Drosophila melanogaster: one gene and its partner. The protein of the gene in region 2 interacts with the protein of the main gene of each other region in a pairwise test. Each region holds a gene or a part of one and is shown on either strand. Other genes may lie near its edges.

The links.
Region 1: the proteins of CG17712 (region 2) and CG5984 interact in a two-hybrid assay, tested with the Drosophila melanogaster proteins (one large-scale study listed by BioGRID).

The regions. Positions count from the first base shown.
Region 1 is NT_033777.3:27,233,923-27,250,842, reverse strand, and holds CG5984 (uncharacterized protein), read left to right. Parts: upstream 1-2,850; 5' UTR 2,851-3,024; coding exon 3,025-3,169; intron 3,170-3,247; coding exon 3,248-3,622; intron 3,623-3,687; coding exon 3,688-3,983; 3' UTR 3,984-4,440; downstream 4,441-16,920. Other genes in the region: TTLL6B (tubulin tyrosine ligase-like 6B), read left to right, coding at 11-435, 493-789, 847-1,000, 1,065-1,699, 1,761-2,301, 2,365-2,475; CG18766 (uncharacterized protein), read left to right, coding at 7,015-7,020, 7,080-7,396, 7,468-7,590, 7,653-8,133; CG17991 (uncharacterized protein), read right to left, coding at 8,627-9,511; PolA2 (DNA polymerase alpha subunit 2), read right to left, coding at 9,740-11,569; CG31068 (uncharacterized protein), read right to left, coding at 14,572-14,619, 14,677-14,783, 14,859-14,928, 14,982-15,346, 15,406-16,920; CG31064 (uncharacterized protein), read left to right, coding at 13,020-13,839.
Region 2 is NT_033779.5:1,741,733-1,758,314, reverse strand, and holds CG17712 (uncharacterized protein), read left to right. Parts: upstream 1-6,192; 5' UTR 6,193-6,289; coding exon 6,290-7,444; 3' UTR 7,445-7,628; downstream 7,629-16,582. Other genes in the region: Gr22f (gustatory receptor 22f), read left to right, coding at 1,864-2,847, 2,910-3,062; CG17648 (uncharacterized protein), read right to left, coding at 5,546-5,932; CG17646 (uncharacterized protein), read right to left, coding at 8,229-8,573, 8,639-8,797, 9,441-9,541, 10,455-10,623, 12,286-12,596, 12,954-13,094, 13,154-13,392, 14,536-14,681 and 3 more.

The DNA of each region.
Region 1 (16,920 bases), on a different chromosome or scaffold from region 2:
GGACGAGACAATGAATTTAAAAAATTCCAAGTTTTTCAAGAGGATTCAGGAGCTGCGCCACTTCTCCAAGGAGAAAATACGGAAGGATCGCGAAAAGAGGACCCACGTTGTTCGCGCCCTGGACATGGCTCTTAATGAGCAGCCGTGCTTGGACCGGGAATGGTTCAGTCCGGAGCAATCACCGCCACTGCAGCCCATGTCCCCACGCCGCCGGATGAAGAAGACCCGGTGCCTCAAGAGGAGGACAGCCGCCGACAAGCAAGTGGATGATAACTCCCCATATTACGGACCATCTTCTGGTGAAAACAGCCCAATGCCTGCTGAGGAAGCCAAGCTGCAGGGATTCATTCAACTGAACAACAAGACCTACCGAGTGGAATGCCCCACTCGGGTGCTCAATCCTCCCATGAACGTCGACGAGGAGCGGCCAGCCAGGTGATCTTCCTTAGCTTTGGATCCTTATTGGATAACGCATCTAACATAATCCCCCAGCGAAACCAAGAGTACCATCTGCGTGTCCAACTCGCGCTACGCCATGATTGGGAAGATCTCCAAGACGCTGGGCTACAAGTTGGTTAAGGAGTCCAAGATGTGGAACATCCTCTGGTCGGATTCGTTTCCCGGCGTAGAGCTGTTCAAGAACATGAAGCGCTTCCAGCAGATCAATCACTTTCCGGGCATGATCGAGATCTGTCGCAAGGATCTGCTCTCGCGGAATCTAAATCGAATGCTAAAGATCTTTCCACAGGACTACAAGATCTTTCCCAAGACCTGGATGCTGCCGGCGGAGTAAGTAAACCCCAGCCTCACACTGAAAGTGCTAATCATTGATACCAACGATTTCAGCTATGGAGATGCCATGAACTACGCGCTCAACCACAAACGCACGTTCATCCTGAAACCGGATTCTGGTGCCCAGGGTCGTGGCATCTGGCTGACAAACGACCTGAAGACCATAGGTCCACATGAGCGCCTCATCTGCCAGACGTACATACACAGGGTAATGTATCCGCTGTTCATCCGGAATCCCATACGCTGGCTAACCATCGCATCCACTTTTCCAGCCCCTGCTCATCGATGGGTACAAGTTCGATCTGCGTGTGTACACCTTGATTACCTCCGTGGATCCCCTGCGCATCTTCGTGTACAACGAGGGATTGGCCAGATTTGCTACGAACAAGTACGTGGAGCCCACGCCCGGAAACGCCAACGATCTGTACATGCACCTGACCAACTACTCGGTGAACAAGCGGAACTCGCACTACGAACTCTGCGACAACGATGACTGCGGCAGTAAGAGGAAGCTGAGCGCAATCAACAACTGGATGCGGCGACACAACTACGATGTGGAGGAGTTCTGGAGCAATGTGGACGACGTGATCATCAAGACGGTGCTGAGTGCGTGGCCAGTGTTGAAGCACAACTACCATGCCTGCTTTCCGGGTCACGACAAGATCCAGGCCTGTTTCGAGATCCTCGGCTTCGACATCCTGGTGGACTGGAAGCTAAAGCCGTACATCCTCGAGGTGAACCACTCGCCCAGCTTCCATACCAACGAGCAGGTGGACAGGGAGGTAAAGCGGCCGCTGATCCGGGACACCTTGAACTTGGTCAGCACGGTGCTGGCGGACAAGAGGCAGATTCTCAAGGAGGATCGCAAGCGGGTCAAGCAGCGGCTGCTCAAGATCAGGGGAGACCCGTAAGTGTCTCATCATCATGTCAGCATCATCATCATTGGTAACCCACATATATATTTCCAGACCCGTACAACGTCCGCGTCTTGGTGGCGGCACCTCCAAGCCCAAAATCGATGCCCAGAAGGGCAGTCCGGATGCCCAACCCGTTGATGTTGAACCCGAAGCTGAGGACCATGGTCCACTGGCCCAGCAAATCGCCTGGGAGGAGAGTCATTTGGGCAATTTCAGGAAGATAATGCCGCCACCAGACTTGAGCAAGCTGGACTACTACACTCGCTTCTATGCCCAGTCGCACCAGGTGTCCATCTTTGCGGAGACGGCGGCCAGTAAAAAGCGAGAGGATCTCGCGCGCAAGATGCGCATCCAGCTCGAGGAGAAGAAGGCCAAGCAGCAGCAGATGCTGAACGGGAAGGCCAAGCGGGATGCTAGGAAACGACACACCGTATTGCTGCCGCGGGCTGTGCGCGAGAAGAACCGTATTAACTTCTTCCGGCTGAGGGAGAACTGGTCGCCGGGCTTCATATCGGACGCGGAGGAGCGACTGCGCCACACCTGGCTGCACATGCGGGCGGAGGCGATACGAACGCTCAAGATCACCGAGAATGTAAGTCGGTTCACTTCCAAAAAAAAAGATACATTTATATTTAAAGGAGATATTCGTCCACAGATCTACAGCAATCTCTACGAAACTGGACTCCTGACCAACACGGACATGGTCGTCTATCCGCATCTCTATCACAACTTGCAGCACGGCTACGACATCAAACGTACTCCATAGTCAGTCATTTCGCCCAACTCCAGCCACACAGACTACTTACACACATCCACGATGTGTTATTCAAATTCGTTATTTAAATTTAAATTGCTGCTCGTCACAAAAAATGTAATAAAATTCTTTCGAATCTTTAAAATAAATATTTGTTTAAATATTCAGCGATTAACACATTTTATGGAATTTTTAGTTGGTATACCTTTAATTTAAGATTCACATTAAAATTTACTCGATTCATAACAATTTGGATACTCTCCTGCTTGGATTGGAATCGCATCTGGCGGACTTGCATCTATATCGTGTATATTTGGCTGGCTGCCCGGCACACAAGCATCGTAAACATTTGCCCCAATCGGATGGCGAGAGCTCCGCCATCGCGGAGATCGAGAATCTGGCATTCCGAGAGCAGTTCGCCGATTCCATTGAGATGGAGAGCAGCGAGTTCAGTCGGTCGAAGGAGCACGCCCCGGGCAGTCGCCAATTAAATTGGGGGAAACTATTTGGAATCTTTTAAAAAAATCGATTGATATTCGAATTGGAGAAAATATCAGCGGCATGTTCAAAGTGTCACAGGAGATGCGTCTGAACACGCAGGCCGCCTCCTCCGCCTCCGCCTGCAGTTCGAGTGGGAGTGGCCTGGAGGGCAATAGTCCGGAGGAGGGCGGTATTTTTGGACGCTACCAGCGAACGCCCGATGCGGGTGAGTAGCGTCGATGAGGAAGTAAACATCGAACCGGCTATTTATACACTACGAATCTCGCGCCCCCCAACTCTTTAGATGCCTATCCCTCGGAATCGCCGCGCGTCTATGTGGCACCCGAGCTGACCGACGCCGGCAAGGTGCAGCTGCTCCACTTTCCCAGCGGCGCGGTGCGAGTGAACAGCCCGCTGGGATTCATCATCAAGCGGAACGGGGTCAAGGGAAACTTCGAGGTGCGCGTCGAAGGTCCCAGTGGTCAGCCCATTCAGCCCGTTCGGCAACAGCAGTTGGATCCGGAGCGCTTTCAGATCGATTGCCAGCTGGACGCCGGAGCGGGTCTCTACAAGGTGCACATCAAGTGCAATTCCGTGACCCTGCCTCGCTCTCCTTTCATCATCGTGGCCATCGCAGGAGCTACCGAGTCCATCGATGGCAAGCCCGCCAGTTCTTCAGGTAGGATATGTCAAAAAAAAGTGCACGAAAGCTGTGATAATCAATTGGCATCTTGTGTGCTTTAGTGCCCATCTCGGACTCGGATGCCAGCCGAGTACAGAGCCGTGGCCTGGGCCTCACCCATGTCAGCTTGGTGGAGCGCAACGAGTTCACCGTGGACTGCGGCCAGGCGGGTAGCAACATGCTCCTGGTGGGCGTACTGGGGCAACGCGGTCCCTGCGAGGAGGTGGTGGTCAGGCACCTGGGACGCGGCATACACAGGGTCACCTACCGCGTGTGCGATCCCGGTGACTACATCCTGGTGGTCAAGTGGGGGGAGCAGCATGTACCCGGATCCCCGTTCAGCTTAAGTGCGGATTAGCCGTAGAAAGTAAATGTGCCTGCATAAATCAGCTGACCTTGATGGGGCGCTACTGCCACCCATCTGCCTCACTTCTCAATGGAATCCTGCGCAGCTTCTCCGGGCGATTTCGCCCCACCTAATGATGATTGCCGATGATAGCGTTATGGGTGCTCCTTGCTGCTCTTTTCCCGCCACTAATGACGTTCGCATTTGGGAGCTGATGCTCTCGGCGCCTCACAACCTAATGATGATGACCGGCGAATATGGAGAATGTGGGTAAGCTGAGTATGAGGGGGCAAATATGTAGTAGTAATGCGTACACTTGAGGTTAGTGCAATAGTCACAAGTTTGGAAAATAGTGAAATATACTTAAGTAAAAGTAATAATACATTTTAAACACTAGCATGCATTTACCATTAAAAATATATTTTAGCTAATGATTCATTAAAATAAATTCACTAAAATAACAGTTATATAAGAGAGGTGCCATCTTAAAATTATATTAAAAATGTTGCACAATAAATTAAGATAAGTATTGTACTATACATATAATAGTTTAATATGATTTGATTTTAAGGGTAACTATTAAGCTGACCATTATTGTTTATAGAAATGATAAAAGGTGGGGGCTGCACGATGATGTTGTAGCTATTAAAATGTCAAGTTCTTGAAGATGATGACATATTCATTTTGTATTCCTAAACAATCTGTACTTAGTAACAAAAGAAAAAGATACATATTTGCAATATAGAAATTTGTAAACACTGAAGAACATAATTGTTTATAATAATATATTTAGGGAGAATGAAAATAGATTGATATTCAACTAAAACCTATTTGAAAGTAAAAATATGTGTCAATAACTAGAAATTTACGTAATATATTTTTCAAAATACAAATAAACAACATTAGTTTGTATGTCTATTATTAATTATCTCAAAGTTTACTATTTATATAGTTGGCTAGGTTCGTAGATTTTTGAATATTTGGTGACCTTGTTATTGGGATTTCGCTTCCCCCAATTTCTTCTTCCTCTGCCTTGCCCCACCCCCATCGCCTATCGCCCCGCCCCGCCAGCACTTTTTCATCGAGACGATGTGCAATTTAATGATGATTACCCCACAAGCAAAGCCAACTGACGACGACTTTGTGGCAGCAGCGACATTATCATTTTTTGTTATTTAGCCCGCTAATGACGTTTGCTTTTGTTGTTGTTGTTGTTGCTCCATCGCACAACCTAATGATGATGATGATGACCGGCACATACGTGTCGGTGTGACTGTGCCAGTGTGTGTGTGCATTATGCTCCAAGAAAAGCGATTTGTTGAAGGGAGGCGGGAGTAGGTGGTGGTGATGATGATGATGAGCGATGAAATGCGCTTGCTTTGTTGCGCCCTAACGAGCCGAGATTGAAGTAAAAGTACTGTATTGAGCACGATAAATGGCAGATGACTTGGTTCTATTGGCCTAAAGCCGCAATAAACATTTTCAATTTCCCACCTTTTGGCGCTGTTCGAAACCCCAACGCACTGCACTGGCGACTGTCTGGCAACGCCATGTCACACTAGCCGCACCGCTCACACCATGTTGCTCTTGCCATGCCATGCTGTCTCGCTCACGCCGAGAACATCATTATAGAGTCGAATTGCGAGAGCTGCGCAGCGTAGGAGCTACAAACTACGTTTTTCGTGTGTTTCCCTCTTGAAGATAATTAAAATTTAATTATTTGACTTATTATTAAGTTTTGTGCCCACGCTGTTGGCGTCGTAGTGTTGTTGTTTCGCCCGTTGTTGCATGGAGCAAAGCGAAAAACGTAACAATAGAACGCAATCAACGCAAGAAAATCGGATGTGGATGCGATGTGAGTGTGTGTATCTCTGAAATGGGAAAAGTGTGTGCGTGTGTGTATTCGAGAAAAGTAACCTCTCACCCCCCGCGAACTTACATATATGTACATTGGCTCCAATGCTGCTATCCCGCAGCCGCCGTCGCCGTCGACGTCGGCGGAGCATCTTCATCCGCATCTGAGCCCAACTCCCTTCTACACTTGAGTTACCGCTTCACTTCGATTCCAAACGTCGCCGCATCCACTTCTCATCTTCTGCTGCTGCCGCAGCTGCTGCATGCATATCGCAACTTGTTTCGCTCGCACAATTAATATTTGTTTACCGTTTACCGTTCGATTTGCATTGCATGCGTGTGTGTTTGTGCGGGAGCGGCTGAGCTGCGTCGGTGTGTGTGAGCCGGCTTAATGATAATTGAAAGCTAGAAAATAGACAAAGTACACCGACTAGTAAATACCCTTTAGTGCCAGAAAATGGGTTGTTAGCCAATGGGATTACGGTACAAACAACACGGAAGCGACAATAACCCATTTTAAAATCATTGGATGCCAAATTTAAAACAGTTCCTATAACATTTTGTTTCCTGTGATAAGAATTGTTAAAAATACTTGCGTTTTAAAAGTTTAAGCTGAAATTAATTAGTGAATATAAATAGAACTTCAAATTGTGCATAATTATATCGTATAGTAATTAATACCCATGACAACTAGGGAATGAGTCCTTCTAGGAGCTTAAAAATACATAAATATTTCTATGAATCCAAACTCTGCTGCAATATAATAGAATTTTATGTGTATTACAACATTATACCCTTTAATTGCCGCGAGAACTAAGTTAACTATGAAATGCAATCATTCGTAACCCTTTTTGTGGGAAGGTATTAGGCTACAAAAGATTAATTACCATTTCAATTCAATTAAATAGTCATCAAATAGGTGGCTGACCATATGTTCGGTTGTTTATTTACGTGTGGTGTGCACTTTTTAAGAAATCCCTGAAACTCATAGGGATTGCAATATTAATACGTCTAACAATACAAATAGTAAACAACGACACCTGCACGTTAACTAATCATTTGATTTATTTCAGGAGCGAATCCGTGTACAGTATGCCAGCCCACTAGATAAACCGCTTCATGTCCTCCATCAGCTGGCAGACGAAGATTGTCGGGCAATCCCATTTGTCGGCAGTAAGACCCATGTGAAATGCCTGTAAGTTGTCTTTGGAATCAGTAGCTTTATCATCAATATAATCGTATACCTATTCGCAGTATGAAAAATTCAACAAAAAGCGCCGACAATGGGAGGATAGTGGTGTTCTAGAGCTGATCAAACTATGGAAAGTCTGCGCCTATGAGCTGCGCACCATTAAACGCAATGGCCATCTGTATGTGGCAATGGCCAAGCAGCTAACCTCGCTGGGCGTCCCTGTTACCGCACTCGAGGTTCACTTTAAAGTCAACAATCTAACGCAGCGCTACCGGCAGGAGCAGAAGACCTTTGAGACCACAGGCATCATCAGCACCTGGAAGTTCTACAGTCAAGTGGATGATGTGTTTAAGAGTCTGGCCGCACACACCGGTTACAAGTTGGTTGAGATATGATAGATACTTCCCATATAGCAATCCCAAACTAACAAAATATCTTATTATTTTCCAGAGACAAACGCATGACAAGTGCGTCCAATACGAGCAGCTTACCATCCACATCCGAGTCACCAGTTTGGAAGAATCCAATGTCTCAGCAAGAGTTTAATAGTAACAACACGGAGGGGTTCTATAAGTAAGCACTAGCATTGGAACACCTTCCTCACAACATGTTTAAATAACAATTGGGATTTGCAGGACCGAGTACGGGATGCATCGGCACTTTATGGACCACTCCCAGCCACCACCCAATGCCGGCAGCGTGGACAACTTCATGGCCTCATCGGCGGCCGTGGCGGCGGTGGCTGCCGCTGCCTCAGCCCGCCTGGCGGATAACAACATGGATCAGCAAATGAACACGGCTGCCGGTGGAAGCGGTGGCAGTGGTGGTGGTGGGGGCAACACCAATGGAGGCGTGGCCAACTACCAGAAGATCAAGAAGTCGCACGAGGACTACGACAAGTTCGTGGACATTGTGAAGAACATCGTGGACACGCACAAGAGCACTCCCGATAAGGTGGACACGTTCGGCGACTTCATCAAATCGTACATGAAGCGCTGGCCGGAGCGGCTGCAGGACGAGGCCATCAACCACATCACCAACTATGTGATCGTGAAGAACATGGAGCACAGCATGGTCAGCAGCCACAATCCCGAGGGGGTGAACAACCGACAATAACAATACAAGCAGGAGCCCAACAACTGAACGAGTTGTTGGACGACGCAGCTCCAGGAACCAGGCACAGAAGCCGAACGAAGTGAGACGTTAGGCGAGGATTACTTAAGGTGGCGCGCAGTTACTTAACCGCATCTGAGTTGCGGCCAAGTTCATTGGACACACACACGGCATACAGTATTTTTTGTATAGTTAAAATATACATTGGAGTTTTAGTTCTCGACGATCGCGCCCTCGATACAGAGTTGACTTCCGTAAAGAGGGGGCTGGATCGATCAATCGTGCATAGAGATCCTAGGGAGTACATTACATTTAGACACCATTTCCTACTGTTAGCTGTAAACTATTATGCATAAATTAATAAATGCTTTAACGATTATTTATGATTGGTAGTAAGAATGCACTATTGACACGTAGTCTTAGGAAAATTGTACACTTTACAATTTAAATAGATATTCAAATTACTTCTTGCTTCTCTTGCAGATCTTGAGTTTACCTAGTGTCCGTCTGCCTCCGCTAGGTTTTCCTTCGTGTAATCCAAAACACGACGCTTCATACGACAGATGTATTGGCTATGCATGAGGTACATTTTGAGGAATCCCTTGATCGCTATGAAAGTCAATCCCCCAAGAAGAGTTTGTTGCAATCTATCGTCGACAGAGCTGTAAAGAACTCTACCCACGTACATGGATATGGTGGGCAAGAGGATGGCTCCACAGACCACCCGCGATGCTGAATATTCGGTCATTGGCGCAGAAGGGTATGGTTCGGTCTGGTGGTCATATTTCCGTCCTAGGCACATCATTGAAAGACTTCGCAGCAATGAATAACATATTCTAATGAAGCGCAACAGGGCATCTTCCCAGGGAATTAAGCGTCCAAGTATCAGAACTACCGAGATTAATGGGAATCCGACCAGAACAACCAACAGGTCTCCCGATTGAATTATTTGATGAACGTGACCTTCCTGACCAGTGATCTGCAAATATGTTTTTGCTCCGAATGAAACCGCTGACCAATAGGCAAAGACCACCGTGAAGACATTGGCCAGGCAATTATATAAGTTTGTTAGGATAAGATCGTTGGTCAGCTCCAAAGCCCTATCGAAAATCCAGAGATTCGGGTATGCAATGGTGTACTCCGTTTGGCATTGTGGACAGGAAACGGCTTGCAGATTGTTGTTTATTCGGGTCTTCTCGTCGATCCAGAGGGAAATGCAGCTCTGGTGCACCCACTTATTGGTTCCTCGGCAGAGACATGGATTCACCCAAGCCTGGCGACCTGCCTCCTTATCGGTCTCAAAACAGATCCAGCAACAGCGCTCCAGTTCCGTCGAATCTCCTCCAGCTGAAGCTTGTGGCGCAGCAACGTTGCTAGCCATTATTGATCTTGTTGTATATAAAACTTGAGTCTGAGAAAACTCCAGGGCATATGTTTACAAATAATACAATACCTACTTTGGCCCAAAATAACTAATGCTAGTTGTTTGTTGTTGAATGTATTTTGTGAAAAGTTATGACAAAGTAGTGTGTTCATTATATTAACTAATAATATTGTACTGATCTATTTCCCACTATCCTTTCCTTATCATCATCACAAAGTGGTCAGGTTAGATGCGTTGGACTTGACACGCCACACTGTTGAACATGTTGGCCGCCTTTCCCGGCACCGAAGGCGCCACCAGGAATCGGGCGAAAGTTCCACCCTTCTTGTCCGCGACACGGCCGGGATTGATCACCAGGCAGTCGTTGACCAAGCGGATGAAATGCCGCTGATCGCTGGGCAAGATGAGCACATTTGGTAGCTGTTTGAGCTGTGCATATTTCAACGCCAGCTGGGAATCGTAGGCCATGTCTTCGTCCGCCGGCGGATACAAAGGATAGAAGGAGCCCTGGTGGAACAAGTGGTTGATGGCCCTGTGCATCCGCTCGCCGGCATTCACAGCAAACTCGTGACTCAACAGGTGGTCCACCACGTCGGTTGAGGTAACGCCCAGCGTAAAGCCATCCAAGTCCACCAGAGATGGATCGGGCAGCATGTATAGATTTGGATAGGTTCTGCGCAGAGCGGGCGGCGGCGTTGGATATACGGAAAGAGCCATGGCATCCTTCTGACTGGTCACCACCAGCACTGCTGTGTGACTACCAATCGACTCCATTATTCCCCCAATCATCTTCTCGAAGAATGTATCGAAGGTCTCGGCCAGTTCGCCGACCATCTTGTGATCGGCATCCAGGAATGGTCCCGTGAGCACCAGCACGTCAGGTCTGTGATCCTTGAGGTACTTGAGCAGGTCGTGCAGCGGTTCGTAGAAGAGATCCGTACTGTCCGTAAAGGGTCCGGAGGCCACCACAAACTGAAGCTCCCTGTCTATTTGCAGTGGCGTTGCTGGCGTCAGTTTGCGCTCTGTGTGTATCTCCTCTACCATGAAGGTTTTGCCCCTGGGTATGAACCCTTTGGCGAGCACCACTTGACCTGGGAATATGCTGGCAGACTTGACCCTGGAGAAGTTGAGCGTGAGCGTTGGGTCCATTTCATCTTCTACATCGTCATCTAAAACGGCCATAAATGCGGAGTGGGCGTCCAGTGGGCCATCGTCCTCGGAATGAATCATTCCCACCGCGTGGAGTCCACCTGCGGACTGCAATACCTGCCTATCCTGCGGATACCAAATGCACTCGGCTGCGCCTGCTTGTCCAAGTTTCTTGTCCACTAGTGCCGGACCGGTTTGGTTGAAGCGGACGCGCAGGTTGTGACATCGGTCGGTCAGCAGGTCGTTCATGTAGCCCAAATTTGCGATGGTCAGCGGGGCGTCGTTGTGCAGCAGTTTTTGAGTCACCGGAACCGTGTGCTCCATTTGTGACTGCCAGCTGGAGCCAGCCAGGAGTTTGGGATGTCCGAAGGTGTCAACTATATCGCCCGGCTTGCCGGCCACTGAGTTGGATGGTGTTTCTAAACCTGCTTTCCTCTTTGCCGATTGGGGTGTATAGCTGGCGGGGCTAAAGAGTGCGGCGCCCTTGAGATTGGCGGTCCGATCCGACTGCTTCTTGGCCTTGGGCGTGTGCAGAGCGGAGGAGTCCACTGCCGATTCGCTGACATAGTCATCCAGCATGGGATCGTCCTCCATGACGCCATAGGTGGCCAGTGAGCTCGTATCCTGTACAGAGGGCGAACCATATGATTTCGCCTTCTGGCCAGTTGCCTTGTATCCCGCCTTGTCCTTCCGCAGCTGCAACACCTTGCGCTCAAAGTCGCCCAGATTCTCGATCGCAGGATCCTCGCCTTGGAGGTGCGACAAACTGAAGGCCATCCACTGCTCCACGAACTCGGTGGCGTCGTGGATGTTGTAGGTAATGGCCAGCTCCGCACACCTGCCCAGAACTGCGTCCGCTGGCTCCACGCCCATCTCGTCGAACTGCTGCTTCAATTCCTCCTCCATTCGTTGTCCTTTCGTTGGGCGTTTAATTTTCGTAAATAAACCTAGCAATTTATTTTGGCGGTAAAAGTGGGCACAGTGTTGCCACCCTATGATGCTTTTAACACCTGCTTGAGTTTTCTTATCGATAAGCATAGTCAGTTCAATAACATAACAGCTCCCATCGAGCTGCGATAACCGTGATCTGTAACCAGTGATTGTTATCGCCCATCCCCAATCGCAGTGCAACAGCTGTTTTAATTTTGTATTGACAAACTTTTTTGTTTACCCGCGTTCAAGCGCAAAACAAGCGAAATTAGCGGCTGTAATCGCGTCATTTTGATTCATGTGACTCCGCACAGTGTCCTGATAATCGCCGCGAAGCAAGTGATTCGCCATGAGCACGGACGATCTGCTGGTGCGCCGCGAAAGGAGTGAAGACTCCCAATCCTCGAGTGTCTCCATTCCGGTTACGCCCACCACCGGAGGTGCCGCGCCTGCGCCCAGCGCCCCCACGTCATCGCTGGACCGCCTGCGGAACACCTTCCGGCGCACGGAGAGCATCTCCTCGCAGATCTTCAGCCACATATCCACACAGTTCTCGAATGCGGCCGCAGCAGCCGCCTCTTCCGAGGTAATCGATGGCACCACCACGTACCCGTATCCCGACGAGCCCGCACCACCTGTTGTACCTGTTGCGCCGGACACGGTGGCGAGCGCCAGTGCTTCATCCCCGTCGCCATCGAAACTGAAAGCAAAGCGACTGAAACGCGGTGAGTCCGAATTATTATTCATTCGATGATAAGCAGCAATGGAAACCAAATTTCCATTGTGCGCTAATAATAATATGTTAAGTAATAATGTTGCATATATAAAATATATTATATATAATATATATAAATATATACACATATATATTTAATATAACAATTTAGGTACTCAAAACTATTCTAAAATGTATTTATTAATTAGTATTAGCAATTTCGTGGGCTGTGCGAAACTGTCGTTGAAATATTTCGGTACTTGTATAAATAATATGATTAAAAATAACTTAAAAGTGCATTGGGAAAGTGTCAAAGGTGATTTGCGCACCACACACAGCGTGACCATCGAGAACACCCCCAACGAAAGCTCGCGAGGAGCTTGCGAGCTTGGCGCACTGGACAAATCAATAGGATAAAGAACTTTTTGCCAGTCTTACTCAACGCGTACACAACAGGATAACGGTGCAAAATCAAAGCGGCGAGAACTTTCGGTTATTTTGTTAATTTCAGAAGTAAAACCCTCTGGAAAAGAGGTTTACAAAAGGAAAAAACCCCTCTAAGGTAATGAAAAAACAGTTGAGGGAAAGCGGCAGCAAAGGAAACTCGGAACTTATTGAACAGCTAATATCGATATATGTATATATCTGTATTTTTATGGACGCCCACGCACACACACACACTACTCAGGCGTACTTTGAAGCAGCAGCGAAATGCGTGGACTTGTCGAGGATACAAAAAGGACCAAGTTGTCGTCGGCGAACAACAACAACCTCAGCAGCACCAGCGGCAGCGGTCGCATCAAGTCGAGCAGCCTTGCAACAGGATCAAGTGCCAGCGGCAGCAGCTCGAAGCCCTTGAGAAGTGCAGTGAAAACGCCAACATCGGGCAGCGCGACGTCATTGTCGTCAGGAACAATGGCTGCCAAGAAGGCGCCTCAAACGGGGCAACAACAAGTAGGCAAGTCTGCAAAGTCCGCCACGGCAGCAACTCCAACTGGCACAACAGCAACAGCAATTGGAGCAACGGCAACAACAAGGGCGCAAGCAGCAGCGGCGAAGAGCCAAAAGGGTCAGAATCCACCCTCACAACAAGTGCAGCCGAAACAGCAGCCGCCACAACCGCAACAGACACAGCAGCAACCCCTGGTGTTGCAGCAACAACAGGCGAGCAACAGCAGCAATACGATTGCCTTGCCAAAGGCATCGCATGCCAACACCAGCGAGGAGCTAGCCGGCGGTGTCCAGGACACCATTTACCTGTGCAATTTCCGGGTATCCGTCGATGGCGAGTGGCTGTGCCTCAAGGAGCTGCAGGACATTGATGTGGCCGGCGGAACGGGCAACCAGGCAGCTCAGACCAGTGAGAAACTGGCAGGCGGCAGTAGTTCCCAAACGGGCGGCTTCGGGTCCAACTACAATGTGGGCTCCAGCTCCAGCAAGCGCAACAGCAAACGCTTCTCCGGACTGTCCACCGGCAGTGGAAGTGGCGGCAACGCCGGTGGAGGAGGCGGCTTGGACATCACCGACAATGGTATTATGGCAATTGAAAACCTTATCGGCCGCCGGCTGTGCGACATGGTCAATAGTGGCTCCTCGGCACTCGGCCAGTCCCAGTCGCACTCCCAGTCGCAGCACCAGAGTGTTGGCCTCTTCGCCGAGTGGTCGCATCTCTGTAGGTCGCTTCTTGTTGCCTCTGTTGCCAAGCACGCTCCTACTTTGTAGTTTCTCTTCATTTCTCGTTAGATTGCAAGGGCCATACAAATCCGAAGAACTCGAAGAGTCAAGTCATCATATTCTATAGGCTTCAGACTTTTCTACGTTATTAGTTTTCTTAAAATATTGTTTTTTATTAACATTTTTATCTTTCTTCGTAAGATATTGGCATTTGTTTATTGTGTAGACATTAGCTTTTATAGAAGACGACAGATTCTTATCAAGCACGAAAGTCTTTAAAATGTGTGAATGGCTAGATCTATGTTCTCGATTTTATTGGCCCTTGTAATCTTCCATCTTGTTGCATGCCTCTTTGCATTGTTGCACATTTAGTTGCTTGCTCTTAGTTAAAAGTTAAGTGATTTACCTAGGAAATACCCTAAGGATTAGGATTTCAATTAGGCAGTTAAAACTCCCATTTTAAAACTTCATTTTCCTTTCAATGGAGAAATGGAAAAGTTAAAAATCATAGGGTTTATTAACTTATCAAAAAATATACACTTAAGAAATAGGAAGGTTAAAAAACGAAAAAGGGTTAAAAAATTGCCAACTAGTTATCGTCAAAAGTCGTTTCCCAGCTGGGAGAGTCCTTTAAATACTGAAAAACCGTCAAGATCATTATTTTGGCATATAACATTTTGCACATCCCACTCACCTCTGCACCGCCCTTCTGTCGACCGGCAGGGACATCTGGTTTCTCCTGCGACTTCTTCCTGTGCAGAAGAGGATCATCGGATGTATCCTTGTACATTTCCGGTGTTGCTTTTAAGATGGCAGCATCAGAGGATTAAGTGAATGAATCGATTAGGCTTAAGAAATGACCAGTCATGCACTTACCTATCCTCACTTGTTTGGACAATCGCCTTTCTGGTGATGGCTGCTTTTTGTCTTCTGAGGATTTGGTCTGCTGGTGACTCTGAGTTCAGGATATCAAAAGCACGCGAAGCACTGATAACTTACCTCTTTCTTACGACCCGTCTCAAAGTCCTTATGCTTCTTCCGCCTGTCTTCTTCGCGGGCATGCCTATGTCGATGTCTATCCTCTCTGCTGTCCACTTCGCTGTCCGACGAGGGAATGACGGATAGGGTCGACTTTAGAGCGGGCTTACAAACGTCCCTGTAGGGAACTCGGCTAGGAGACGAATCATCGGAAAGAAGTTTGAGGGATGTGACCTGCTTTCCCACCGCATCTCGGCTCTTGTCCGGTGCGTAGTAGTCCCCTCCTTTCGCTCGGGAGAACTTCAGTGGCATGCACTTCCTGTTGAACTGACATCCCAGCGACGAAGATGAGGTGAAGGAATCTAGCTCGGGATTATTCGCATATCCTATAAACTCGAGCAGTTAGATTTAGTTGATTTAGTTGCCACAAACTTATTTGACTTACGATTGCTCGGCACCGATCTTTGTGAGGTGGAGCGACCAGAACCGGAGTAGTAGTACCGCCGAGTAGCATCACTTTCGTCCTTTTCATCTTTTTTTTCTTTTTCCTTCTCTGGTTCTTTGGCTTTCAGCGGCTCCTTTTCTTTTCTTGGCCTCTCTTTCGGCGGAGGAGCCTCTGCATCCGTTGGGGCAACCCTCTTCTTCCTGCCCCTTCGCATGCAACAGCAAATGATGAGCAGAATGAGGAGCAGAAGCAGGGTCAGAAAGGCGGCAATGCACCAGATCAGTGTCTCATCGTTGTCGCACTCGCGGCACTCTTCCACTTCCTCCGGCCGACTCTGAACCTTATCCAATCCGGTAAGCCATTCGTCCTGGTGCATTGGCTCCGGCCCCGACTCCTCGACTGGCCCTGAAGCCTCCTGCCAGTGAATAGCGGAGCGACTCATCTTGCGGGAGTCCTCTTTGGGACAGGATGGTGATCCCTGCCCGTCATTCTTATTGGTTGGCGCCCGGGCCTCCTCCTCCGCATTCTTCGCTTCTTTCGACAGCCTCTCCTGAATCTGCAGAATACCGCCCAGACCCGGGTAGAATACATCATCGCCATAGTGCATTTCCAGATTTTCCTTTATCCAGGCGAGCAACTGGCGATTGTAATTAGCCTGGCTAATGCCCTGAAACCGATGACAGTTGGTTAGGGTTTGGAAGAACTTCACCACGACAAATTCCGATTTGGGAGAACGCAGATTGTAGATGCGTCGCTTTCGAAAGGGCAAGTATATGTTGCCCATATAGCCATTCTCATCGAGCGTCTCCAGTCGAGGCAGGCTCACAATCATGCTCCCTTGATCCGGCTCTTGGGAAATGCATGTTTGATCCAGTTGAGCACAGCTGGAGGCATCCTCCTGGGAATAGCAGCTCTTGGGCAGCTTGACGGGTTCGATCTTTCGTACCTTGAACTGCGACAATATATCCTTGTCCGGAGCTCGCCACCCATTTCCGTTCGTATTGAGCGTCGTTTTGCACTGCTGATAAATGTTCACCAAGCGCTCCACGGTGTTCAGCTTGATGCGTCCGGCATAGAAGGATAACTGGGCCATGGGCACCAGATAGTAGCGCAGATAGCCACCCAGGGCATCGTAGAATGCTCTCTGCATGATGAGCCGCGTATCATCGTCTGACATTCGCTTCACGATCTGGTTAACAGTATTAAAGTACCGGAGAAGCATGTAGACAAGGCTGTCGGTGAGAAGGGATTGTGGAAAGGATTTCGGCACCAGCAGCTCGAAGTCTTTGCGTGCAGATATGATAGCAATGTCCTCCGTGGAAAAGCAATTCTTGCGGTAGTTGCCAAACAGATTGGTGCCCAGGAATGAGTCCGATTCTGTGGTACTCCTTGTCGCCTTTTGCAGCTCGTTGGGCAGATCCTTAAACCATTCATGCTCTTGGTATCTGCGCGGCGGGGAATAGGGAGGATTGGTCACCTGTTCATCGACCGTCTCGATCAGGCCATTGCGGTAAT
Region 2 (16,582 bases):
AAGCCCTGATTACCATGTAAGTTGTTACCAAAACTAGCGTTGTTAATTGTTAACAGGTGAGTGTGCGAGGCTTAATTGCAATTTGCGCAGCGTCATTCGGATAATTAAGTGAGTTTTAACTTGTGCACACACAATTTGCTCATGTGACACATTTGATGGCAATGGCAATGTGAAACGAATGGCAATGGGGCACTTTAAATGCAAAACTCACAGTTTGCCAGGCGAGCCTGTTGAAATCATTTAACGAGCTTGCCAAATTGCCTTATGGAAAATGTTGGAAAAGCGGGCGAAGTGCGTTTCCGCAGTCGAAAGTCAGGACGTCCAGTTTGTGTCAGGATGCATTGATTTATGTCCTGCAGACGTCGAGAGCGGAGGAAAATGACATGAATCTTCATTTGTGAATTGCATTTTATATGACTGCTCTGTCTGAGATTGAGTATTTGTGCGCACATAAGCACGCTTACACTCGCGGTGCAAATAATAGTAACTGCGGTTGGGAAATGGTCGAACATATGTTAGTACATTCTGATATATAGTGGAATCTGTAATAGCACTTCTACTGTACCATTTATTATATTTTTAAGGTGCTATGAGTATAAATATTAACTGCGAGTGTGCTTCGACTCGCATACATATGTTGCAATTAGTTCATCGCCTCCTGACTCCTCACTCAGCTCCACAAAAGGCGACCCAATCCCACCTTCAGGCTCAATTAGGGCAAGTGACCAGCTTTGTGCTCGGCTTTATTTATACAAATGTGTATGCAAATGCGTGTTTTTGTGGACCACTTGGGTGGGGCACCACATGCAGTGCAGTGCATATGCAGGACGAGATTCTTGCTAATGGAATTCCCTCAGACAATCCGGCATTCATTCGACTGCAAAATTTCTTGTTTTGATATGTTTGTTGGCCTGGGCAAATGGAATTTTCCAGTTGCCAGCAGAAAGCACTTCATTTTGTAGTACACTCCCTTCTTACTCTTAAGTATTTGAGGAAGTTATCTTCTGGAAAGATGATTACTTCAAACTTCAATCAAGCTGCTGCACTGACTTATCTTCGGTTGGATTGGGCATCATTTATTTTACCACACAAAATTATAAGGTCAGATTTTAGGAAGGTTCAGCTCGGAGGCCATGCAGAAATTTCCTTGCAGTTAACTACGAAGGTAACGTCTTCATAACTTCCTGTTATTTGCTTAATGAAATTCCCCCGTCGGCAGAGCAGCCTGTGACCCCCATCCCCCGTCATCATCCGAGGCTGAGCTTCAGCTTATTGAAATGCTGAGCTTCGAGGACCTCGACCAACCAACCAACCAACCCACCAACCACCCACTCCTTGAAGCCTTCTAACCCCAATCCTCAATCCGCCCCAGGCCCACTTAAGTCAGCCCCTTTTCAGCTACAACAATGCAAATATTATTCCTTGACACCAGCTGGAGAAGAGGCGACTTCGCCAGCTGTGCTGTCACAGGAGATCCTTCGTTATGTGCTATGTGCATATATATCTATATATAGCTGGGTTGGCTTAGAGACCCTCGGCATTTCCATTCCATGGCTAATAACTTGTTGCTCCAGAACCAGAAATCCCCGATGCCTGTCATAAAGCACTTAATCAAGTTAATAAAAATTGATGGCTGGCACGCAAACAATTTGTTTTTAGATTTCCAGCGGCGGGACGAGGAGGGAAATCCTTAGCTAGTTGGATCTTATGAAATGTGTCAATTTAAAATATGCGTTTTTGGGTCGGGTCACTTAGTTTAATGGAGATAGGCAAGGATAATTTTAATTACACTAATTGCATGTGAAAGATGGATTAAGTTCAGTGCCTTTCCCTTGTTGACATTAGTTTTACCCAGGGCTTTAGATGAAAATGTTCCAACCTCGTCGCGGCTTCAGTTGCCATTTGGCATGGTTCATGCTGCAGACGACCCTCTACGCATCCTGGCTACTGGGACTGTTCCCCTTCACTTTCGATTCCCGGAGAAAGCAGTTGAAACGCTCCCGATGGCTTCTCCTCTACGGTTTCGTTCTGCATTCTCTGGCCATGTGCCTAGCCATGAGTAGCCACTTGGCATCCAAGCAGCGAAGGAAATATAATGCATTTGAGCGCAATCCGCTGTTGGAGAAAATATATATGCAATTTCAGGTTACTACATTCTTCACTATAAGCGTACTACTGCTCATGAATGTTTGGAAAAGCAACACGGTTCGGAAAATTGCCAATGAACTACTCACCCTTGAGGGCCAGGTAAAAGACCTTCTCACTCTGAAGAACTGTCCCAACTTTAACTGTTTCGTGATTAAAAAACATGTGGCTGCAATAGGTCAGTTCGTGATTTCAATTTACTTCTGCCTATGCCAAGAAAATTCGTACCCGAAGATCCTTAAGATCCTTTGCTGCCTGCCATCGGTGGGCTTGCAGCTGATTATAATGCACTTTCATACCGAAATCATTTTGGTCTACCGCTATGTGTGGCTGGTCAATGAAACCCTCGAAGATTCACACCATCTAAGCTCCTCAAGAATTCACGCACTAGCATCCTTGTACGATCGCCTGCTGAAGCTGAGTGAATTGGTGGTAGCGTGCAACGATTTGCAACTGATCCTTATGCTAATTATTTATTTAATCGGAAACACTGTGCAAATCTTTTTCCTCATTGTGCTCGGAGTAAGCATGAATAAGCGGTATATTTACTTAGTGGCTTCCCCACAATTGATCATCAATTTCTGGGACTTCTGGCTGAATATCGTGGTGTGTGATCTTGCCGGAAAGTGTGGAGACCAAACATCAAAGGTCCTGAAACTGTTCACTGATCTGGAGCACGACGATGAAGAGTTAGAGAGAAGTGTGAGTATATACTGTTGGAATTCGAGTTCAAATGAGTACTTTATATATCCTTTTTCCGACAGTTGAATGAATTCGCATGGCTGTGCACCCACCGCAAGTTTCGGTTTCAGCTGTGTGGTCTCTTTTCCATTAACCACAACATGGGCTTTCAAATGATCATCACCAGTTTTCTATACCTGGTTTACCTGCTTCAGTTTGACTTCATGAACTTGTAAAAAACAGTTCTCATTACAGCAACAAATAAAATCTTTAGGATACGCTAAAAGTCTATTCTTAAACTATTGCCGAACAATTCCCCCTTAAATTCGAGGGTAGTGTGTGTCATTATTATTTTCCTGCCAGGAGCGTGACATCCGCGACATATACTTTCCCCGATTCGTGAGTGATACGTGATTGGAAATAATTTAAGATGCTGCGATAAAGCAATTTGCGCAAATTTAAGATGAAAGAGGCGACGGACGGGGCACAGCCACAGCCAAACACACACATAAAATGGAAGCATTTTCACAACTGTCATTGAAATGTCAACATAAATCTACTGACATCCAGTGCCAGGTCCTCTTCGTCCTCTTCGTCCTGTCCTCCTTTCGCCATTTCTCCGCTTCCCTATTTCTCCGCCGCCGCTTTCCCAGCGACTTTTGCGCGCTGCGTGACGTAAATGCTGATGAATATTTCTCATCTGTTGGCTGCGGTTCTCCAGCTGAAGTGGGGCGCGCCGGAGCAGGAGGAGCTGCCTGGTGATGCGGAGCCTTCCCTGCAGTTGGGATGGTGTCCTGCCTTCCAGCTTATCGCAACACGGAAAAAAGTAAACTAATAAAGAGAAGAAGAAGCTCTTGTAAATAATTATTAAATTATCATCCTATATTGTGTCTATACCATGATTTCTATCTAGTACGCATTATTTGCTCTTATACTTTCGGAATTTTCTCCAAGTGTAGTATCATAGCTAAGCAAGAGGACGCTCTGTGACTCCCAACAGCGAAATGGACTTGTCAGTTTTGATGAACTATCTTTGGCTGCCCTGCGCTCGTCCTGTTTCGCCGCTAATGCTAATACCTCTGACAGAGATCTATGTGCGGTCTGATTCATTCGAGTCCCAGTCCCAGTCCCAGTTCCAGTACCAATCCCAACGCAATCCTAGTCCCAGTCTCAGTCGCAGACTCAGTTTCCGCCGGCTTGCAGACCTCAAGATGAGGTCACGTAGAGCTGCGTCGTCGGCCGCTTGTTTGGCTTATTAAATGCTCAGTTGTCCTGCCTCCGAATGCAGGCATTTCGGTCTCGTCCTGCCCCTGCATTTAGTATTAATCTGGCTTAAATGTGATTAATGTCTGGTCTGCGGAAAGGTTACCGCCCCATGCCACATGCCACATGCCCCGCGCCCCAGGAGTCCTGCGGTCTGACAAAGTCTGGATAAACTAAGCCCGGATCAGCAAGTGTAATCAATATTGCCATTAACATTCAGAATTCAATTAGAAGCTGTGTCTGTCCGGCCTTGGAGCATTCCCAAGATGGCTCTGATAAATTTTAATTGGTTTAGAGAAAGCTAGTTTGCGGCTGCTACTTAAAGCCATTAAGCTGTTATGTGGCACAGCATAGTGGATATTTAATTGGAGTTATTCGACAGATCCAATTGGTGTGCGATGTTATTTTACGATTAACAGGTGATGAATAACAACTACCTTTAACACCTGCCCCTTCCGACTCAAGAGCTATCTGAAGAGCTAGTCCACCGCCTTGGGTGGGGGTTTCCCTTTAGGGGTCACCCACTTCCATTGCACCTTTGATGGCGCCATAACTTGTGGCAATATCTGGTGCCCCGAGGTCGAAAGCAGCAGCATTCATTAGCTGTTTGCCGGAGCCGCTGGGTTTGCTTTAAATTTAATTGTTTGCCCGCTGCCGCTGTGCACTTTGTGGTTTAATTAAGACGGGATCGAGCGTATATGGTATATGGCATGTGGTGTACATGGATGTGGGTGGGGCAGACAGACGGCAGCTGCCTTAAACCAAATTACACTAATTGGGTTACCATATGACAGGGCAATGCGTCGACTGTGACATTTGTTTGCCATGGCTTGCCAATGCTTGCATTATGTCCGCCCGTCCACATCCTTCGCCCGCACAAACACAGCCCCCCACACGAATGTGTGGTGTACACTGAGAGAAAAAGCTCACTCAGTACGCAAATTCTTCAGAAGGGCTACCTTCCAAAAGTAAAGCCAAACTGGAGTCTCTAATCCCGTAATATTGATAGTTGTTCGGAAGTCTGAACCCCTAATTGTGCTCAGTGCATCATAAGCCCAGTCGTCAGTAAGTCCTTCACTCCACCGCCGTTTGCACTCGCAGTTGCCAGCTTGTAATAAGCTGCAGAATCATTTTCCGCATGCCGGCTGCTTTGACAGCTGCAATACCGCACATGGCTCAAAGGGTCGAAAAGCGGGCCACATGTGGTGGTATATGGTGGAAAAGGGGGAAAACGGGGCAACGGGCAAAGGATATGGGGAGTTGGAGACCGCACTCGAAATGGAAGCCAAAGGACTCTGGCTTAGTTAATTGAGTGGACAGCAAGGAGGTCTTTAAACTGAGATTGGCACGGATAAGAAGATAAGCATTATAGACTTTGTTGGCCTAATCTCACAGGTTCATTTGATTCTAAGCAGAGAAAAAAGAAAGTATTTTTTAAAAATAGTTTTAGAAACTTCTAGGCTTCGACGGCGGGTTCCATGGACAAGGACCTGCTGCTCACACTCCCGGCGGGGGTCATGATGTCCTCCAGCATTTGGTTGAGCGACTCGGAGCCCAGAGCGTACTCCTGCTTATTGGCACTTCGGTTGTGCATGGCGTCCAAGTAGACGCCACTCGCATTGCGCTCGCTGCTCAGAATGTGCTGCATGACATTGCTGATCTGTTCGGAGCCCAGGATCTTCGGTTGCTCGGTGGCCAGTCCATCGATGACCGCAGTTTCCAGCTGGCTTGAAATTTTGGCCGGCGACTCCTCCTCGTTGGCAGTTTTTAGAAAACGAATCGCCTGTGCAGAGGCCAAGGCTCCGGCCGTAAAAGAGGTCAGCAACTGAGCAATCGAAATCATTTGAAATTTGATATTTTTAAATGATTCGAAAGCGAATTTAGATCATGCTTTGAAAGTTCGTTACGATTGCTATGAATTGAGTTTAAATATTTCAAGGCTACATAAATTAGTAATTAACTCAATAGCCACCACTGATTTGGCTTACAAACTCTTTTGTTTAATATTATTTTTAAAAGCTTTAAATATTTTAAATAGATTTAGCTAGAAAATAGCTGACAGACACATATCGATATATCGCTGCGATAGCCACAGCTGTTCACGCCCGCAGTTTAAGCGATGTGGCAGCCCTGGTCGGCCACCAAAAAATAAACATTGGAATTTTCCCTTAACTTTATAGAGTTTTATCCAATTTGAGCGATGCTGCCGGGCGTTGGAGTGTTCGGAACGGGAGAGATAGCCAATGTGCTGGTGCCGCTGCTGCGGGAGAAAGGATTCGAGGTGCGGGCCATTTGGGGCAGGACCCTGAAAGAGGCGAAAGAGACTGCGACCACGCAGAATGTACAATTCCATACGAACGTAATCGACGATGTCCTGCTGCGGAAGGATGTGGATCTGGTGTTCATCGTGTGCCAGCCCTTTCTGCACGCGGAGATCTCGGTGAAGGCCTTGGGCATCGGGAAGCATGTGGTGTGCGACAAGCCAGCAGGATTGCACCAGCAGGACGCACTCAAAATGGTTCGGGCTTCTCAGTACTATCCCACTCTGATTTCCCTGGTCAATCACCCGCTGAGGTTCCTGCCCGCCTTTACACATATGCGTCGTTGTCTGCAGGAGGAGCTAATTGGCTCTATTGGCGACGTGGTACTCATGGATGTGCGCGTCCAGATGGGAACGCTCTTTCCCGAGAAGTACAACTGGATGTGCGATGCGCAAATGGGCGGCGGTGCCCTGAATCTCGTGGGATCCGTGGTGGACTTGGTCACCTTTCTGCTGCAACAGCAGGCAATAAGAGTGCATGGAGTCCTACGATCCTACACGAAAACCACACCGGCCATCAATGGCATTCGACAAATTACGGCTCCGGATTTCTGCAACTTCCAAATGGAACTGGCCAGTGGAACGCTGGTCACAGTGGCCCTGCACAGTCACACTGTGCCAGCAAAAGCCTTCTCGCAGGAAGTGCTCATCTATGGCAGCAAAGGACACCTGGTGGTCCGCGGCGGCGACCTATTTGTCCTCAAGGAGGGCCAACCCAAAGAGGAAGCTGTTTACGTGGATGTCCAGGATTTGCACTTCGCCACCAACAACTCTTTGCTACCACGACCATATATCAAAGGACTCTGCAAGATGGTGGGCGCTCTGAAGGAAGCCTTCGGCAGCAAGGAGTCCTCCTGGGTTAAGGCTCCAGTTTCCACAGCGGCCACCTTTGAGGACGGCCTCTACGTTCAGGCTGTGGTTGAGGCCATCCGGAAATCGAACGAGACCAGGCAGTGGCAAAGGGTTCAGCTGTCCACCGACAGCCCCCTGAATCACGACCAGATAATTCGATATGCACGCATGTCCACAATGTGAGGGAGTCTGTATTACATAGGTGCAATATATGAATGATTCCACTATATATTTTTTATATAATGTACGTGTTTAGTCTTTAAGCGTTCAAAAGATTCAGGCTTTCCAGCCGGCGTCATCTTCATCAATGTATTTAACTTATTTGTACGGCATCAGCATTTTGCAACTAATAAAATTGATTTGTTAGACATGAGACTTTATATTTATATTAGCTAGAAAACATTTCATGATAGTTAATAGCAAGGAACGAGAAGAAGTCATCAAATGTACCAAACGTTTTATTTTAAAAACAAAATTGTCTACACAAACTAAACGAAATATGTCATATACAAGTAATTCGAACTTAGGGCTAAAACTAAAGCTAATCACTAAAGAGACGAAACAAATTATTGATCACAAAAGTATCTTTGTAGCGGACCTTATAGAAGTAGATGAATATTCAAGACTTGGCATAGCTGGAGTCTTCGCGGAGATCCAGCTCAGTGGATGAAGTATTGTGTTTACAGGGCAAGATGGAAACGGGGTTATAGAGATTGTGTTGCAGTTGATCTTCCTTTTTGGTATATCAGCACTTAAACTGGATTTAAGCTACCCTAAAGCCTTCTTGCGTACAATATTTCAGAGAATATTTAAATAAATACCTAAGCTAACATCGAATCGGTCGATCAATTGTAAAAACACAAAAAGGGTAGTTTCGAATTTGGAACTTAAAACGAGGAGAGATGGAAAGACACCCGACTATGTACAAAAGGATTGCAGCCATGGACCAAACATTGGCCATGGTATCTTATCGCTTGTTGAGCTTGTGCCACAGCGTGATGAGGGTCAGCACATGCATGACTCCAATCACGATGCCCATGAGGATCAGGCAGTCGGACATGTGCACATCCGATATCATCATGTACTTGAGAAAGACCTTCGGGCTGCGGAAGTGGCAATACATCGCAGTCTCGGGGCACTCCAGAAAGGGTCGATCCATGCCGTAAATGGCGTTCAACGCCCCGTGGAATCCGGCCCGGAAGTAACTCAGGTGCCACATCCATCGGAAGAGGGGCGTGATGTCGATGTAGCGCGTGCAGAATCCAAAAACGGAGAACATCACCGCCAGAATGGGTCCCAGAAACACGGCAAGCTGAGGCGGAAAGATTAGTTATTACCAATTCGATTCTCAGTTAGCTGGTCGAGTGTTGAACCCACCTTGGTTGGCAACGTGGCTCCCACGAAGAAGCCCCAGGCTTGGGCACTCAAAGAGGCCATTATGCCCAGCAGCATGAAGTAGTAGATCCGGAATGAGTCCGTGGCATCGTTTCCAGTCAGATGCACGCTGATGATAATGTACATGGCGGTGCAGAGGCTCTGAAATGGGGAAACTCAAATATTAGTAAGCCGTTCGCAAAGGAAGAGATTATTAATTGGCTGATTTGCATTTGATATTAATATTGATTTGTGTGTCATTTAACATTTATGATAATATTATAATTCATTGCATTGATATGGGCCGTGATAAGTGATTAATAGTAGCTAGATTAGATAAAACCAGTATAACTCTATATGTAGAACTTGTGTGACTGGCACAATGAAATGAAAAAGCAGCCACGAGAATGTTGCCCCTAATTACCAAAAATGTTTGCCTTTCGAATCGTGAAACAGTACGGCAAACAAAAGCGTTTCTTTCATTGCCAATTTCACTACATGGCCAACACACTTATATATATATATATATATAAGTATATATAGCCCGGCATATCGGAACAATCACTGCAAAATTACAGGTAGTCGGGCTTACGCGATTCTGTCACGCAAATGAAACGCAAACTCGAACATCGCCGATTTCACATCGTTAATTTGACTTAATGACCGAGCGGCAATTCATTAGACCACTGCCACCTATGGAAGCTTAGCTCTAAATGATGATTAATGACCACCACCGACACCGTTGGGGTTGGGTTCTGATCGCCGTGGCGATCTGTAGTAGGAGCTATTCTATGGCGGTGCTCACCTGGAAGGGTATTTCGAAGGAGATCAACGAGAGGAAGTAGGGACCCAGTTTGTACCAGCGGTTGAAGTGCTCCCGTGTCAACATGTCAATTTCCAGCGGAACTGCGGACAAAATTAATTGATAAACGAGATTGCGATTAAATTCGTTAGGTTCAATGTGATGCGATGCGATGCGAAGTGTGCGCACGAAGGTGAGGGCATTATACATATGTAGGTCAGGTCAGTAAACCGAAACCGGTAAAGATCGGATACCCAGCTCCCCCAGCTCCACCAGCTCCTCCAATGCCTCCTGTCTGCAGCAATTTATTGTAAAAAGAGTCGAGAATCGCTGGCCAACCGGTTTTATTATACAATAATCGCAGCTGGTGTCTCTTGTATTTTATAATTATTTACTTAGCGGGCTTCAGGATCGCATTTTTCGGGGCGAGAAGTGCACTTTTGGCAATTTACATGGAAATTATAGATGACAAAGTGGATCGACAGAGATCTTTTATCGCTAATCAGATCTGGCCTCGCCTCGAGGGTTAATGTTCCAATCAATATATTTTAATCAAGTTTACTATGGCGTATTTGGAACGCTGATAATTTATTATTTGTGGCTATACTAGATTCTTATTCTTTGGCTAATGATCCACTATCTAAGCTCAGAATCTTGGTTCTTTTTTTTTGCCAATTAAGAACCACGAAACTTCTGTGCAAATGCCAATATATTATTGGCTAATCCGCATTCCGCGATAAATAAGTATCTTGACAAAATATCATAGAATGCGGCAGCTAAAGACAAAGCAAAGTTGCCAAAATTGCGCAAGAACAGCTGCAGTTTTTTTCTTTTGGTCAAATCTGGCGACAAATTTTTGCATAAATTGGCTATCCGAGGAAACCAGTGACTGGAAACTGGGAGAGGCCAAGTCCACTCGATAGCACTCGAGAACCACTTGGACAAATGCATTTGGGTGGTGGTTAGATGTGGGCAAGGTGAAGTGAGGCGATTATCTCGGCGATTGCAGCTACTTACATGTCAAGACCACAGCCATTTTACCGGTGTAGACCAAGAGCAGCGTGGAGCCGTACAGATACACGTAGTTTCCCAGCACACTCTGGGCATTGTTGCCCACGTTCATGTACAGATACCCGAAGACGACTCCGATGAAAATGTGCGAGAAGATGCGGGCCAGCAGCAGAAACTGAAAGAGATACGGAGTATTAGGTATGTATGTGGCACACAGGTTGATAAAGATGCAAATCAAGCAACTCAGGCAAACTGGAAATTGAGATACTTTACGTTAGCACACTTTGCTTAACTTTCTCATGCGAATGCAAAGAACTCTTTAATGTCCTTGCAAATATGCTCATTGCTAGTTTGTTGTTAGTTTTTTTGTTCACAGCTGGTTTCTTCACTCGAAGTGACACATTTATGGGCAGTTTTCTCATATGTCATGTCTATAACAGCACTAAGCTTTTAACTATCTGGCGGGAAAGTGGGTCTAAACTATGACATATTGCGTATACCATAACTTAAAAAAACGTTTTTTTTTTTTCAGGTAGCTGGTAATAAGACAAGACTCCCCAATTTAATGGCATTGACCGCAGTTGTACCTTTTGGCAACTAATAGCCAGTAAATGATCGTGCCGTGGATGTTGGTCATTAGAACCGTCTAAAGCCGAAATCTATGTGAAGGCTGAGTGCTGGCTGGCATTACTTTTGAGTTACGAGCCGCTCGAGTGGGCCCGAGATTCTCGGAGTCACCGTTTGGCCGCTTGGCCGCTTGGCCGGTTGACAAGTCAATATCAGCGGAACTGGAGGTGCTAACGAAGCTATGTTCACACTCCACTATTTGAGTGGCCGAGTGCAGTGTGTATGCAGATCCATCGCAGATTGATCGTGTGCAGTCACATAAAAGTGAGTTAGCTCGCTAAGTGGTCATCACACAAGCTGTTCAATTTCACATTCAAACATACGCCAAGTGCTAATTGGACACATTCGGATGATAAACGCCGGCCATCAATCTCGATGGCATTTCTGATTCCGCAGCTTCATATTTATTGTATTTATCTCTTTTTTATGGTAAGTGCTTGAGCCTTTTGCCCTGAGTCATTTGTTTTTACGTAGTGCCCAGTGCCAACGAACTGAAAATCGTTGTTAAGTGTAGAATATATGTTACATAGCTATGAGAAATTCAATTGCACAATTGAGTTGTGTGCATGAATTACTTACTTATGAGCCCACCACAAGTCGCTCTATTAAAAAGTAGCTTAATGCCCTGATTATATGCTTAAGCATAATGTATAAAAAAATTCAGCTAGTGCCCTATTATATTCCGCATGCATGATCTTATATCACCATTAAGAGCATGCATAAGTCCCATTTTCGTATGATTTTTTAGCAAAATCCGAAAGCGTGGCGAAGTGTTCAACCTTCCCAAAAAAAAAAACGTATAACGTATAGTACTTAATGTACGGCCACTAAATGGTAATGTGCAACTGGGCTGTAATTGCCGAGGGAAATATAAAAATAAAGTAAAAAGCGGCTATTTAAAAGATTAGCCATTAAGAATTACGCAGAAACGAGATTAGCCGAAACTGGATTCACTTTTCGAGGACGCCGCACCAATTACCAAATCAACTCGACAGGCCATCAACTCTTAAAGCCGCTGCCCTAAACCGGCTTTCAACTAATTGTTACCCAAGTTACTTTGTGCATTAAAGTTATTGCAGTCGAGTCTTAAAAAGCTAAACTTAAGATTTTTAAAAAGCTGGCAAATATATATAACAAATATATTTGCCATAATTCAAGCCTTGAACTTTGCTGGTTGAATTTAGTTCGTGATATGGAGGTTTCTACTCACGTAGTTTCGCTTGGCGCAAATCAAGATGCGCTGCATCAGGAGCACATACTGCATGAGGAACGAGGCCGATCGAATGGCATTCGGCGGCCTGGCAAGCTCACCGGCTTTGGCAAGCGGCTGTGGCTGTGGCCTCAGATTTTTCTCGAGGAGATCGGGATCCGCGCTCTCGGGGCCGCCGCTCAGTGCCTTGATCTCCTCCAGAGCCAGCTCCTGCGGCGAGGGCTTTACATAGTCGAAGCTGGAGAATTGCGCCGCCGCAAATGCTGCCAGCGCTTCACTGGTTTTTACCACTGCCTTGCCGCCCATGTTTTCTGCAATTTGGAGAAAGTTCAAGTTAGTAAGTGGCAGCTCTAGTGGGGGAAATTTCTGCACCATGCGCCAATAATTGGCAGTTTTCCTTAAAAAAAAAAAAAAAAGCTTTGCTTGTATACATGTGTATACATGTATGTTCGAAATTGCTTGACAGATTTAATAGCTAACGCATTTATAACACCGAAACTAGTAGCACACCTCCTCTACTTTAACGACTCAACTTTAAAACGTGGACAAATAAAGATCGTTATCACTGGACCGTAACAATATTCGCATAAAACTTCATTCAAACTTTTATATTTAGAATAATTTAATACCCGAAACATGACAACAGATCTGATCAGTATAGAACTCACCTTTAATGCTTTCCACGAGGCGTGCCATATCATCACTGCTCATATACCTATGGCGATCCACATCCTCGTAATACTTTTTATTGGCCGCATGGATTAGCTCATTCAGGTCACGTTGATGCTCGCCCACGGCCACTTCCAGTACTGAAATCCATACGATATGATATGTAATGTGGCATGTGGCATGAAAGTGGTGCACTTACGATAGTCAGCTGGGTTGTGGTAACTCGGGCAGACGAGCTGCTGGTCGGCCAGGAAGGGCACCAGTTCGCGCACAGGTCCTTGGTACATGCAGTGGCCATCGACGACGGTGTAGAGCTTGTCGAACATCTCGAAGATGAGGGCACTTGGCTGATGGATGGTGCAGACTATCGTGTGGCCCTGCGACGCCAGTTTCTTCAGCAGAGCCACGCAGGAGCTGCACGAGGAGCTGTCCAGGCCACTGGAATCCGAACAAACGAGCAGAAATACAACTTTCGGTGTGACTCAACTTTGTTTAATTGCTGCCTAACCTTTGAAGATCTAACGAATAACAACCCCATTAAACTAAACCGCTGTCTAACTGACAGCAAAGAACATCAAGCAACAGGGCAACTGAAACTTTAATGGTAGGTGAGAGATTGCGGCTTGAACTTGTACTTGTAGCGAAGTCAAATGAAAACGAGAAACAAGTTTGTTCCCAAAATCCATTTGCCGATGCAAGTCGGGCGGCATTGCAAAGATTTGATCGACTTGCAGTCGGCATTTTATTTGACACTTTGAAAAACGAGTTCTTTCAAGTGTTATTAACTGCCTGAAATCGAGACATACGTATTATTTGAATTACTCGTATCCATATATATCAAATTCAAGTATACACTTTGCCTAATACCCTTCTTTAAATGAATCTCACGACTTCGAGTTTACTAATTGCCAATGAATGATGAAAAGTGAGGTCTAAGAAGAAAAGCATATGATTTTAAAGCAAGTCTTAAAAATAAAGCTTGAGATATTTCTGGAACTGGCAACTCCCTTTGTTTGCGAAGTATCCAGTCATGATTTTCACTTTGAGATTGTTGTCTGAATCAACTTATACTTAGTCATGCCACATGAAAAGGAGGGACTCATACTCATAATCCCCAGCCAGACGACTCAAAATAGCTGGCCCTTTATTGCTGCATAAATCCGATTTTGTAGGTTCATATAACCACAGCAGACTCATCAATCCCTATTAAAGTAATCTACAACTAATGAACAATTTAATTAATTACGGGATTATCTGCCAGATAGCGCAGTAATTAAATGAATAATCAATAAAAAAAATTTAAATAATAAACTGTTTACAGCTCACCGAACACCACTAATCAAAACAAGTCGAAACTATTAAACAGACTATCTGGACAATTGATAAGCTCTAAGTCATATAGACATATAGATGGGGACAAACTTGACTTGTGGGTCAGTTGGTGTTTTTTTTTTTTTTGCTGAACTTCCGCCAGGCAAAGTTTGCTCATCATCGCCATGAGCATCAGAATGCTGGAGATGATCACTATCATGGCTACTCTAAATACATAAGTGTGCTTTTACAATATATAGTGTCACTCACGTCGTCGGCTCATCCAGATATAGCACGGGAGGATTACTTATCAGCTCCAGGGCGATTGCGAGTCGCTTCTTCTGGCCACCCGAAAGCTTCCCAGTGGGCACATTGTAGCGATGGTCCAGACCCAGCAGCGATAAGATGTGCTTGATCTGGGAAGGAGTGCAGAAGTATTTCGGATAAGATATCGTATCGTTGCCCTGAGATGTTCACAATCTTTTTACACTTCTGAGATGATTACTTACCAGATCCATCTTGTACGCCTTGGTGACCTTGAAGCCCAGCTTCAGATGTGCCGCCAGCAGCATTATCTCGCCGACCAACAGCTGTGGACGCAGCAGATCGTCCTGGTGGATGTAGCACAGCATTTGGCGGAACCTCTCGGAGCTGGGAGCCATGGGCTTTCTATTAACCCGGATATCGCCCGACACGCCAGTGGAGCTGCAGAAAAAGAGGCGTGGTCGAGTACCGAGTGAAAATGTGTCGAACAAAAATCACAATATATAATCGGGCGAAGCGGTTAATTTAGGTACAATAACGTACATGGGTTCAACAAGGGCTGGACTGAATGAAAAATAGCTTCAATCACAAGCGTCTAGTTCGGGGAAGTGAGTCGAGCTACATATGTGTGTATATTATGCTCATGCGCCACTTTCAAGTTCATAGTTTACTGACCGATAACGTTTAGCAATGAAAACCCGTGTACCGCCTGGGGCATCGTCTTTACCACCACGTCCATTACTAAAATCATGATAATTAAGGCAGCAGCCTGCAGTTAATAGCTCCACTGGCCAGACTCACAGTTCATCCCTCTGCACGTTCGGTGCATGTATAAATTGCTGTTTATTTACTAAAAATGCTGTAATAGCTGTCAGTTGGCCATCAAAAGAGGGCTGCGATTAAACGGCGATTTCCTGCGAGATACGTCAATTGGCGGGCTTGTGACTCAGAGAGATTGCCTCCCATTCGCGACTGAAGTCCTAATTATGCAATGGCTGAGAACTTGAACCGAGCTGCCGGAGGAAGTGATGAGATTATGTCCGGGATGGAACGGCAATCGCAAGTGCACTGCCTTCCAGACGTCAAACGAAACGCGCGATTGTGATTCATGTGTATTTCGCACATTCAGTTAGTTCAGCTATCAGTTTAGACATTTAGCGGAGTGCAGAGGAAATCTAAATGCAATTCCTACACCTTACAATCAAATGCTTTCTAAGCTGCATGGGCAGATACTAGAACTAGGTGAAATTCCACAAGACCCTTCGATCTCTAACCCAGCCATGTGAAAATTTAATTATATAGCTAGCCAAATGCAGCTGTCTTACTGTATTGCCGACACTCAAACAATGTGCTGATTGATTGAACGACTGCGACGTCTGCACTTTATATGCACAGCCGATGTGTCCAATGTGTAATTAAATGGCACGAAACAGATTGCATATTCAGCGATATAACCATAAATTAAAAGCGAAGCTGCCCGCAACGTGCATGTCGACTTTCAAGTTCAGCCGAGCGGAGGACTCACCAAAATCCGGACATCACATTCAGCAGCGTGCTCTTGCCGGCGCCCGAAGGACCCATGATGGCTGTGAGTTCGCCAGACCGGAAGCTGCCGTTCAGGCCATGAAGGATCTCCTTGGTGACTGCGGCACAATAAGGAAATATTTTAATATAGAACATTCAGAGTGATCAGAGGCAGAGGTACCCACCGAACTTCCGCTCCGGGAAGGAGAACTTCTTCACTGTGTAGCGCACGTCGGCGAACTGGATGTCCACGGGATCGCAGTGGTCGAAGTTGGCGTGCGCCACCGCCTGGTGGTAGTTCGGACTCTGGAATCCGTTCAGGTCGTTGGTCACCTTGCTGGTCAACTCGCAGGAGCCTCTGGACGAGGTCGATGACGTCTCGTCGATGGACAGCTCCGAGCTGGCCGCCGTGGTGCAACAGTTGATGCCCAGGCAACCGCTGTCGGGGTCACCATGGTGACCCTTGAGGCTGCAGACGCCGGAACTGCTGCTGGCATCGCTGTTCGCACCTCCCACGCAGCAGGCGGCA